2 linked regions of the Saccharomyces cerevisiae S288C genome follow. Each later gene encodes a partner of the first gene's protein in a complex. Each region holds a gene or a part of one and is shown on either strand. Other genes may lie near its edges. The genes, in order: BRE5 and UBP3. A codon is read from its position in the direction of its gene.

Region 1 (4,354 bases):
TTTACTTTCAATTTAGTTTACAATATCATGGGACTTTATCTCCATGACTATGCCATTTCTAGGTAGCCTATGGTAAACGAATCCCGTAGATTATTCACACGTTTGTTGTCTTTGTTGACAACAACACAGAGTAAGAAAAAGCAAAAGATTTATCTCTTTTGTCCATCTTTTTTTTATTTTGAAGGCGTGTAACATTTATTGGTTACAACATGGCTTGTTTTCTTGTCCCTAACAATCGCCAGGAGAATTTTTTTTGAAAATTTTCTTCTATTTTAATTATGTACATAAATGTCGTCAGTTAACTACAAATGAGCTATCTATCAATATGCTTTTTTTTTTTTTTAATTACTGCTCAAGCTTGCTATCCCCTTCTACCTCCGTTTCCTAGCACAGAAGAAAGTGCCCATATATCATTATATTCAATTTTTAACTTGTCTCTTTTTCTTTTCTGCCTCGGTTTCGCGCATCTACTCTACGCTATATTTTCATAATCATCTCATTTAAATGGCATTCATTCCCTTCCGCGCCAGTATATTAGTTACTAATCATACAGTTTCTTGTTTCAATTTTTTAGATTTTAATTAGCGGTTTTTTTTTGGTTTTTCTTAAGATTGGTTTTATGATTTTTTTTTTTCTTTTTCAAATTTTTTTATTATTTTTTCAATTTTTCTTTTTAAAAGGCTTGTGGTTGACTAGTCCTTTCTTTTTAGGGGTTGCTTTCTATGAGAACGTGTTCCATTAGTAAATATGCCAGGAGGATTATTGCTCGTGGGCTTCTTTACTGTTTTTCTTTCTAAGCATACTTCAATACCATCAATTGACTTTTTCTTCTTCTCTAAAGCATCGATTTGGCTCTTTTGAGTTTCAAAGTCGACGACGGCAAAATTGTCTGCAGCTGTTATCCTCATAACTTTACCGAATTCTTTTTCTAAGGCACTTCTCAATTTTTCTTCTCTTAAGCCATTTGTACCTCTAATGTAGATTGGATAAAAGCCGTCCTTGTTAACGGTGCTGAATACTGGTTTTTTCTTATTTTTGCTGTTAGCACTAGCGTTGTCCCTCCGATTCCCCATTTCAAATTTTCTTTCAGTCGGTTTCTTGGGTAGTGTTTCAGGTCTGATGTATTCAACCGTGGTATTATTTTTGCTAATTCTGTCGGAGTTTTCATTCATCAACTTTGAGGCCCATGTCATCTTTGGTGGATTCGCAACGGGCTCTGGAGAAGATGAAGGTGTTGAAGCGTTATTGCCGGATTCTTTGGCGTCGGAAACCTGTGGCTCTATTGGTTTAATTTCAGTTTCAGCTTCCTTTACGCCCCCAGGTACCGGTTTTTCATCACTAACTTCTTTACCGTTGGGCAAAGAAGAGTTATTAACAGCATTTATGGCCTCAACAGAGCCTTCCTTTGTCTTGATTGGTGCAGCTTTCTTTTCGGCTTTGTGAGATTTTTCATTTAGTTTAGTAACGTTTCCTAACTCTTCTGTAGAGACCTCATCTTGTTTGTGGTTGCCCTTAGTACTAGATGGTACCGTTTCGGTGTGAATCTTGGACTCTTTAGTGACGGGTATAGCCCGAGGTTGACTATGATCGACAATTGGTTTTTCCTGAGTTGACGATTCAGTTGGCGCAGTTGTGTCTTTGACCGTTTCCTTTTTGGCCTTTGGTTTCGATATTTCTGGTGATTTTTCTTTTTCTTTTTCTTTTTCAACTCCGGACTCATGCCTTATTTTATCTTCTTCAACTGCACTGACAGAGTTCTCCTCGTTAGATTGTGACAAAGAAGCATCTGTTAAGACATAAGGCTTGAATGAATTGGAAATAAATCTGATTATATCATTGGTAATGTCAAACGTAGACCCATTGCTGGATGGTAGCAGGATAAATGTTTGACAAAACTTATAGACCGGAGTTCCTGTCCAAAACATTTCACCCGTGGCCATGATCAGAATGCTTTTGTGCAAGTGCCCAGTGTACTGGAAATCTATAGTATCTAATTTTAGTTTCAAGCTCCTAACTTTGGCATCATTTCTAGAAAAAAACTTATTAATGTTTTCACGTCCAGTAACTTTCACCGTTGGAAGAACGTCATCTTTTTCGTTTGTTGACTTGGACTGATAATTAGTATGCGTCAACTCGGCTGTACTTGCATAAAAATATGCCAATTTGGAAGGGTCGGTCCTCATTCTTTCGTAGTAGTTTTGCAAAAAGGCAAAACATATGTCTTGAACGGTAACACCCATTTTCTTTTATTTGATACTTCTATTCGAGGGTATGACTTCAAATGCAACTATTAGTGACAAGGTAATAAAACTATAACACACTTGAAAAAAAAAATGCGATGGTTTTGTAGTATTCTTCGTGATCTTTTTCTCTTTAAAAATCAACGAAAAATAAAGATGTATCAGTAAAATAAGTTTTCAACAGATTCTCTGTAAAATGATTGACTAATTGAATATTTGAAAGAAAATGAGGTTTGAACGAAAATAATAAAACAAAAAAAAAAATGTAATTAAATGGGCAAAAATGAATTAAAATGTAGGGAAAAAACACAACTTGAAGAATTAAACAGAGTAAAAAAACGAAAGCTTGTGGTAGGTGATATAAATAAATTAAAGCAATATCTTACTGTTTATTCTTCCTCTAGAATAGTTTTGGTACTAACGGTAACTAGAAAACTGAAGAAGTTTTTCGTATTCTTCTAATACTCAAGCAAAATATCCTATGTCAAGTACTACCACTTGTACAGTCTTCGTTTTGTACAAATTAGGTATGAATTGCTCTTTTTTGAAACAGTAATGGGATAAAAAACAAATGACTTAGTTTAACGTCCGCCGGTTGCGATAGAACTTTTAACCGTAACAATAGTAACAGTGGACAGGAAAAAAAAACGGTACGAAAAGGTAATATTGCCTAATCTGAAATAATGTAGTCACTCTAGAACTATTAATAAAGAAGCTTGTACTTCCTCTTATCCCTGGAATGGACGGTTATGCTGCTTGCAATATGTCATTCTTTCATTAATCGCCACCTGATGTTTTTCGCTGCTTTGGACGAAAAAATTTCCAAGAAAAAATAAATGGTTAAACAAACTACAGCGCACGTGACCGATAACTATACGGGAATAACGCATCAATCTCCTGTGGAAGAGTGCTTATTGCATCGAAGAACCAATCTGTATTACTACATGTCCAATCATAAGCTGATGTTGCTTTTAAACTTTTTTTTTTAAAATTGTGTATACATATAGTACATAAATGATCATTGGTCCCCATCAATACCGTATATGACACCTTGGTACTTGGCGAAATCCGTACCGTTTGGGAACTTATGCATAGACAGCTTGCTCAATTGGCAGAAGGATAGAAGCATCAATAGACTCTGGCCGCCTGTAGTAGTAAATATAGAGAATCTTGGTAGCCCTAACTCATCGGCAAGTGTGGTTAGTGAATATTGCTGCTGCTGTTGCTGTTGTGAAGATTGTTGCAATTGAGGGTTCTTGAACTCCTGGATTATTTTATACACCAGGTTTAAGTCGTAGAAATTGGGCATGTATTGATGGACCCACCACTCGAAATCCTCCTTGTTGTTGGGCATGGAGTCATTCATTAGAATGTTGATCAGGAAACCTAGATCATATGCCGCATGGTATGTGATCCAAGTAACAGAATCATCCATCATTAAACCAGAGTCCATTAGAAGCTGCGAAAATTCAAATACATCGATGCCTAAATTTTCGTGTTTTTCGAAGTTGATACCTGATTTTCTGAGTAATTCTAACGATTCTGTGGACATGATTTCCTTCTTTGGGTCAAATTCAAAATTGAACTGCCACGTTGAGGGACCGTTGTCAGGCTTATTGCCGTTGGCGTCACTCAAGGAAAGACCAAGTTGTATTGGGTTTAAGAAGTCTACGTTGGCCCTCATTGTCTGATAGTGGTAATCGACCTTCGACCTGAAAGTGCCGATCGGCCTAGCCAAAGTCCCCACAAACTCAGTACTGATTGACACATGATTATACTGCGAGACCAGTTGTCTTATAACGGCGAATTCACTGTAAAGGTTGGACTTCCAGACATCGCGAACGAAAAGATAATTTGGGGGTGGTAAAAAGATCGGTGGCATACTTTGGTTGGTTAAATGCTTGGGTAGCTGGGAAGCCAAGGGACGATTGAGTCCCACTCCCTGCTGCTGTTGCTGCTGTTGTTGTTGCTGCTGTTGTTGTTGCTGCAGAACGTTCAGTCCGGGCGGCAAACTAGCCACCGAAACAGGCGTTCCTATATTAAATGGCTGCTGTTGTTGTTGCTGTTGCTGTTGTTGCTGAGTTAACAGTGGCTCGTTCTTCTGCTTCAAAAGA
Region 2 (5,404 bases), on another chromosome or scaffold:
TCGAGGTTAGCACTTAATTGGCGTAAGCTGCTTAATGACAAAACCCTCCTTGGGCTTGGCGTATACGAAATATGCTCCTGCGAAGCGCAGTGGCAATATTGAGCACTATGTTAACGATAACGTGTTGGACTCATCGTCTGTGCACATATGATTGAAATCGGGAATCCTCTGCTTTTTTTAGGTAAAATCAAACTTTGGCTAAATTTGGATGATTACTTAAAGTAAGAAATGAATCTTAAGAGATGTATGAGTTTTGTGATAATTGTTGTGATTCCATTGTTGCCAAAGGCCATAATATTTTGAAATTCACATTCCTTCTACAAGGTATTTGTTTCTTAAATGTTCATCTCCAAGAAATAATTGGTTTCGTGGTCTAGTCGGTTATGGCATCTGCTTAACACGCAGAACGTCCCCAGTTCGATCCTGGGCGAAATCATTTTTTAAATATGCCAAGCATAAAGTGTAACTCTGTTTCTCTGTCTGTCTCTATTTCTTTTTTAAAATCGTGCTCACTATCGTATTGTATTGTATTGTATTGTATTATTGCTATATTATTTTTTATGTATTTTGTCTATAATACCACCCCCCGTCTTAATTTCTCTTTTGATACATTAAAATATAGGCAGTCCTCGAATCAGAAGCTTCTTCGCCACCTTTCAAAACGTCATCGTCCTCTAGTTCGGTAATATTTACATCATCTATTCTATACCATTTGTTGTGCTCGCTATGATAAACATCCGCTGTGTAATGACCGCCATCGGAACTTACCCCATGATGGTATATAACTCCGGTTAGCTTATATCTTCTATCATCAATCCCTGAGGTGTTGTTTTTCAATGTTATGGAAGACATTGATTCTTCAGGTATGATTAACTCGTGACCATATTTAATTTTTTTCCTGATCTTCTCAATACGTCCATTGTACGCGTTATAGTTCGTCATTGCGTTGTCTTTGTTCACATTATTTATGAATGAGAATCTTTTGAATTGGATTAAAAGAACTTGCGGCAATTTATCAATAAAAGTCTGCTTCTTGGCCTCGACATCATTCCCTGACGAGGACTTAAAGGGTAGCAATTCGTATTCACTAAATTTTTTGAATGCAGTTTCTAGATCATTCACACCAGCATCTGAAATGTCCAATTGAATTGTTTGGAACGGATCGAGTGTAATCGATTGAGATTCCTTATTGTTCGGTATATCTAACACAGATCTGAACTGGCCACCGAAAAGTTTGGAGATTGGTGATGGAACAATCTCGACAGTCCTCTTGGCAGCGGTCTTAGTTTTCTTGCCTCTTTTGCTAGATCCGCTCACTTCATGCCAACCATTTTCTTCGGTAGAGTCATCATTGATCACGCCATATTTTTCTATCAACTCCTTCAGTCTAGGACTAGCATTTTTGATAAACTCTGCTTTTCCATAACGTGACAAATTTCTAATAAAGAAAACTTTCAATTGTTCATCATTAATACTTTGCAGCATATTTTGAATTTCATTATCGGTTAAGCCATCAATTGCAGAAATTAATTCCTCGTGTAATTGGTCCAATAAGTGGGTCAAAAATTCTTCTGCGTCTTCCTGATGGCCCCATTGCAAGTCTTTGAACTTCGGTATAGTAGACAAAGTTTTGTAAAATTCGTCAGGTTTGACAGCATCGGCAGTGGCGCAGTGTTGGAAACTCTTGGATTTTGATGATTTTTTTGCATCACTTTCCGTGGTTTTTTCAGCATCATCAGCATTCTCTAGGAATTTTTTCTCATAGGTTTCCTTATCGAATTGCTTATACATAGTCAAACAAGCATCTAATAATTTACAGGATGATGTGCCGACTCTTGAATTGGTATTCCGTGTACTGAGAACGTTAATTACATCAATAAATGGCTTACAGTAGAGTAACACTTGTAACACAGAACTCATAAAACAAATGTTGGCTCTGTTAATTATGCCTCTTGGAATAATGGAATGGACTGGTATTTTGTTTTCAACATCTTTATTCCGTAAAACGTAACTAATGAAATCGGGATCAAAACACATTCTTAACGCAATCGAACCCAGTGGCTCAATACCCTTTGTAGAAGGTGGAACGTATTTTTTATCCTTTTTCTGAGGCTGCTTGGACAACAGGGGAGAGCTGGATTTACCTATAGTCGCCGCAGCCATGTTTGTTGATGAAACGCCTGCGGTCGTACCAGAAATTGGTGTTTTAGTGACCATCGATCCGGAGACTGTTTTGTTACTAGCTTGTCTACTTTTAATCGCATCTGATGCTATGGCGGACCAGGATTTTGCTGCTGGAGGAGATGGTGAAGGTGAAGATGTCTTGGAAGTATTTTCTTCAACAGATTCCTCTGGTTCCTTCTTATCCACTACAGGTAAAACAGTAGCTTGAGGTTCCTGTATAACTTTTTCGTTACGGTCTTGCTTAGCATCCTCTTTCTTTACTTCAGTTTTCTTTTTAAGCTCGTGCGCATCTTTGCTCGCATGTGGTTTTTTATCATGAGCATCTTCTTCTTCCCCATGTGTTTCTGTCTTTACTTCCTCATTATGCTTTGGTATACTATGGCTTTTTGTGTGATGATGGGCAGAGCTCTTTTCTACAGATGAGTTCTCTAAGCTTTCAGAGTTTAGGTTCAAAGCCTTCATGTTTAATTCGTACCTTTGGACACTTGCCGCAGCAAATTCTGCTTCCGTAGTGTTTATGAACAGTGGCAATTGAATCAAGTTTGATGAATTTTCCTTGAGATTCTTTAATTTAGTGACATCAAACTTGTATAAATCATACTGTGAAGAAGAGTTGTAGGAAGAGTACGATGGTGAAGTAGCCGAAGAACCGTTGCCGTTGGAAGAGTTGGTCTGTTTTTTCATGCCCGCATTGCTGCCACTGTTTGGAGAGGCCATCATGGGGATATGATTGTTAGAGTAATTGTGATGGTAGGTGTGGGATTTGTTGTAGCTCATGCCGCTACCGCTAGAGTTGGCGCCTTGATTACCGCTGCTTCCATTGTTATTGGTAATGCCATTAGAGTGCCACTTCTTCTTGTTAATGTTGTTGTTATTGGTAGTGCTTCCGCCGTTAATATTGTTTTGCGGAGGCAAGTGATGTGGGCTGCCACTTTGATGGTAGATTGGCTGGTTTTGGTTGACCATATTAAACGAATAGGCAGGTATTTGTGTGGGGTATAGATATGGGGCCTGAGTGTAGCCGTACATCTGCAAAGGCGCTTGATAAATAGGAATCTGCATATTGGTTGGCGTAGGTGGTGGTGGAGAAGAGGTTTTCGGGTACATCGAGTACGACTCTTCTTTGTTAGCGTCTTGCATGTTCATTTTTTTTAATGATGATGGAAAGGAAAGCGGTACCTGGATGATGGTAGCAGACGAGTCTGACTTACTATTAAAATGACTTTCTTCTCTAGAAACACTTCTCTTCCCTTTCGCTTTTTCGCTGCTTGTTTGTTTTATCACATTATATTTTTTTCCTTCTTTTTCTTTTTCTTCCTTGCCTTTGCCCGTAGAAAAATTACCCTCTTATTACCGTTCACCTATATACGTATTCCTTCTACATAGTTATGTTATTGGTGATCGCATGAGATTTGCAAACAGCACCAAACAGCTCAATGCCCCTGTCGATATCATCAACTTCTAAGAAACTAATAGAAAGCCTAAAGCATGACTGACCCCAGTTTTTCTCATCGCCGATGACCTCGAAATTGGAGCCGTCGGCAAGGATGACATTAAATTTCTTGGCAAGAATAGTGGATATCTCCATGGCATTGTACGCTGGTGGGAGAGTGATCCAAGTAAAATAGCCGCCCTTCAATGGCATAATCTCGGTTCCTAGGGGCATGTATTTCTTAAGCGCCGAGGTCAAGACAGTGGCCCTCTCGGAGTATACGGATCTCAGATGTGCAATGCATCTCTGGGCGGCACCACTACGCAGCATCTCACCCACGATCATGGAGTTCAGTTGTGAGGGAGTTCCGCCAGAGACGTTTGCACCACCTTTAGATAGCTGTCTGGCGAGATTCGCGTTGATTGACTCATGGTATCCAAATCTGAGCCCAGGGGCGATCAGCTTGGAGAAAGTTGCGTTGGACACTGTATTCCCGAACGAGTCCTCACCGGAGGGCGCTGTACTTCTGTCTATGTGCACCATCCTTAGGGGCGGAGAGGGCAGCTCATCTGAGGGCGTCGTGTAATCTAGAATATCGTACACGTCATCAGTGATTATCAGCATGTCGTACTTCCGAGCGATGTCGATAAGTCTGCGTCTGGTCTCAAGCGAGTATGTGTTTCCCGATGGGTTTGCAAACGTCGGGATGCAGTACATAACGTACCTGTAGACCTTCTTGGTCAACTTTGGCCCCTGAATCATCTCTGTGGTACTATGGGGCTGCGGCTCCGCCTCGTGCTGCTCAAGGGCAGAAATCAACGACTCGAAATCAATCGAGTCGTGGCCCTGCTCGTTGATGGCGGTCATTTTCCCCTTGAATCCCGCATCTGTGAAGCAATTGTTGATCAAGAAATATGTTGGCGTGATGATGAACGCCTGCCTGGTATACCCGTTATGTGGCAAGGTTGTTTGCAGAAGGATGTTCAGCATGCCATACGAAGCGCCGCTATTCAGATTCAAATAGTCTGCCCGTGTCCTGCTCCGAGCCCCATTTTCGAACTTAAACAGCTGATCATTCAGAAACGTACAAATCTGCTCTCGCACCCACAGGGCACCTTCGTCCGAACCGTACGTCAGCGGATGCCTGTTATAGGGGTCGTTATCGTACTCCCTGGTCTCGGGCCCCAATATAGCCGCAGTCGCTTGAATTACTGCTTCTCGAGGCAGCAACCTCGAGCTCGGATGGCCCTTGAAGAAATTGATTTCCTTGTATTTCATTACCGCTTGCTAGCACGCGTTGTTCCTTGTTACAGCGATGCTCCACCCAGATTTATGTGTTGATTTCAAATCCTCTTCTCTTTATCACTAGTTCGGCATCCAGCAGCGGCAGCCCGCGATAACTTTGACGGAACTCCGCCAGCACACGTCGCGCCTGCGCTGGGCCGGGAACATGCCAAAGGACACCAGCCAGTAGTAGCGGTAGTGACCATTCGTTCTTTATCACTAGGGGCTGTCGTCCAAACAACGCCAGGGCAGCTGCTTGCTCATCTTGCTGCATCAATGCTATGCCCATAGCCTTGGTCATTTGCGGGAAGTCGCGCAGCCTTAATGGCGGCTGCCCTGGTAGCGTATCCATCTCCTGCAAGAATACCTTCCACTTTTCCCTGAGCGCCGTGGAGTGCATTGTGCCACGCGCAAACGCTTCGACTTTAATCCGTCTAAGCTCATACTCAATCAGTTCATCTTCTGGGCTGGTGCGACGATCGCGATTCATCGCCTGGTAGTGCT

Evidence for each region.
Region 2: the proteins of BRE5 (region 1) and UBP3 are in contact, whole or in part, in a crystal structure (PDB 2QIY), measured with the Saccharomyces cerevisiae proteins. Residues at the interface, in NP_014449.1 of Saccharomyces cerevisiae: Phe10 (codon at 2,213), Gln14 (codon at 2,201), Tyr17 (codon at 2,192), Glu18 (codon at 2,189), Arg21 (codon at 2,180), Lys50 (codon at 2,093), Asp51 (codon at 2,090), Asp52 (codon at 2,087), Leu79 (codon at 2,006), Lys80 (codon at 2,003), Leu81 (codon at 2,000), Lys82 (codon at 1,997), Leu83 (codon at 1,994), Asp84 (codon at 1,991), Thr85 (codon at 1,988), Ile86 (codon at 1,985), Glu105 (codon at 1,928), Phe107 (codon at 1,922), Gly110 (codon at 1,913), Thr111 (codon at 1,910), Pro112 (codon at 1,907), Val113 (codon at 1,904), Tyr114 (codon at 1,901); in NP_011078.3 of Saccharomyces cerevisiae: Leu206 (codon at 2,715), Pro207 (codon at 2,712), Leu208 (codon at 2,709), Phe209 (codon at 2,706), Ile210 (codon at 2,703), Asn211 (codon at 2,700), Thr212 (codon at 2,697), Glu216 (codon at 2,685), Phe217 (codon at 2,682), Ala220 (codon at 2,673), Ser221 (codon at 2,670), Gln223 (codon at 2,664), Arg224 (codon at 2,661), Leu227 (codon at 2,652).

The regions. Positions count from the first base shown.
Region 1 is NC_001146.8:716,088-720,441, forward strand, and holds BRE5 (Bre5p), read right to left. Parts: upstream 2,241-4,354; coding exon 693-2,240; downstream 1-692. Other genes in the region: CCR4-NOT core DEDD family RNase subunit POP2, read right to left, coding at 3,259-4,354. UniProt on the Saccharomyces cerevisiae protein: Has a role in de-ubiquitination. In conjunction with UBP3, cleaves ubiquitin, leading to the subsequent mono-ubiquitination of sec23.
Region 2 is NC_001137.3:469,095-474,498, forward strand, and holds UBP3 (mRNA-binding ubiquitin-specific protease UBP3), read right to left. Parts: upstream 3,331-5,404; coding exon 592-3,330; downstream 1-591. Other genes in the region: YER152C (2-aminoadipate transaminase), read right to left, coding at 3,563-4,894; PET122 (Pet122p), read right to left, coding at 4,947-5,404. UniProt on the Saccharomyces cerevisiae protein: Has an ATP-independent isopeptidase activity, cleaving at the C-terminus of the ubiquitin moiety in natural or engineered linear fusion proteins, irrespective of their size or the presence of an N-terminal extension to ubiquitin.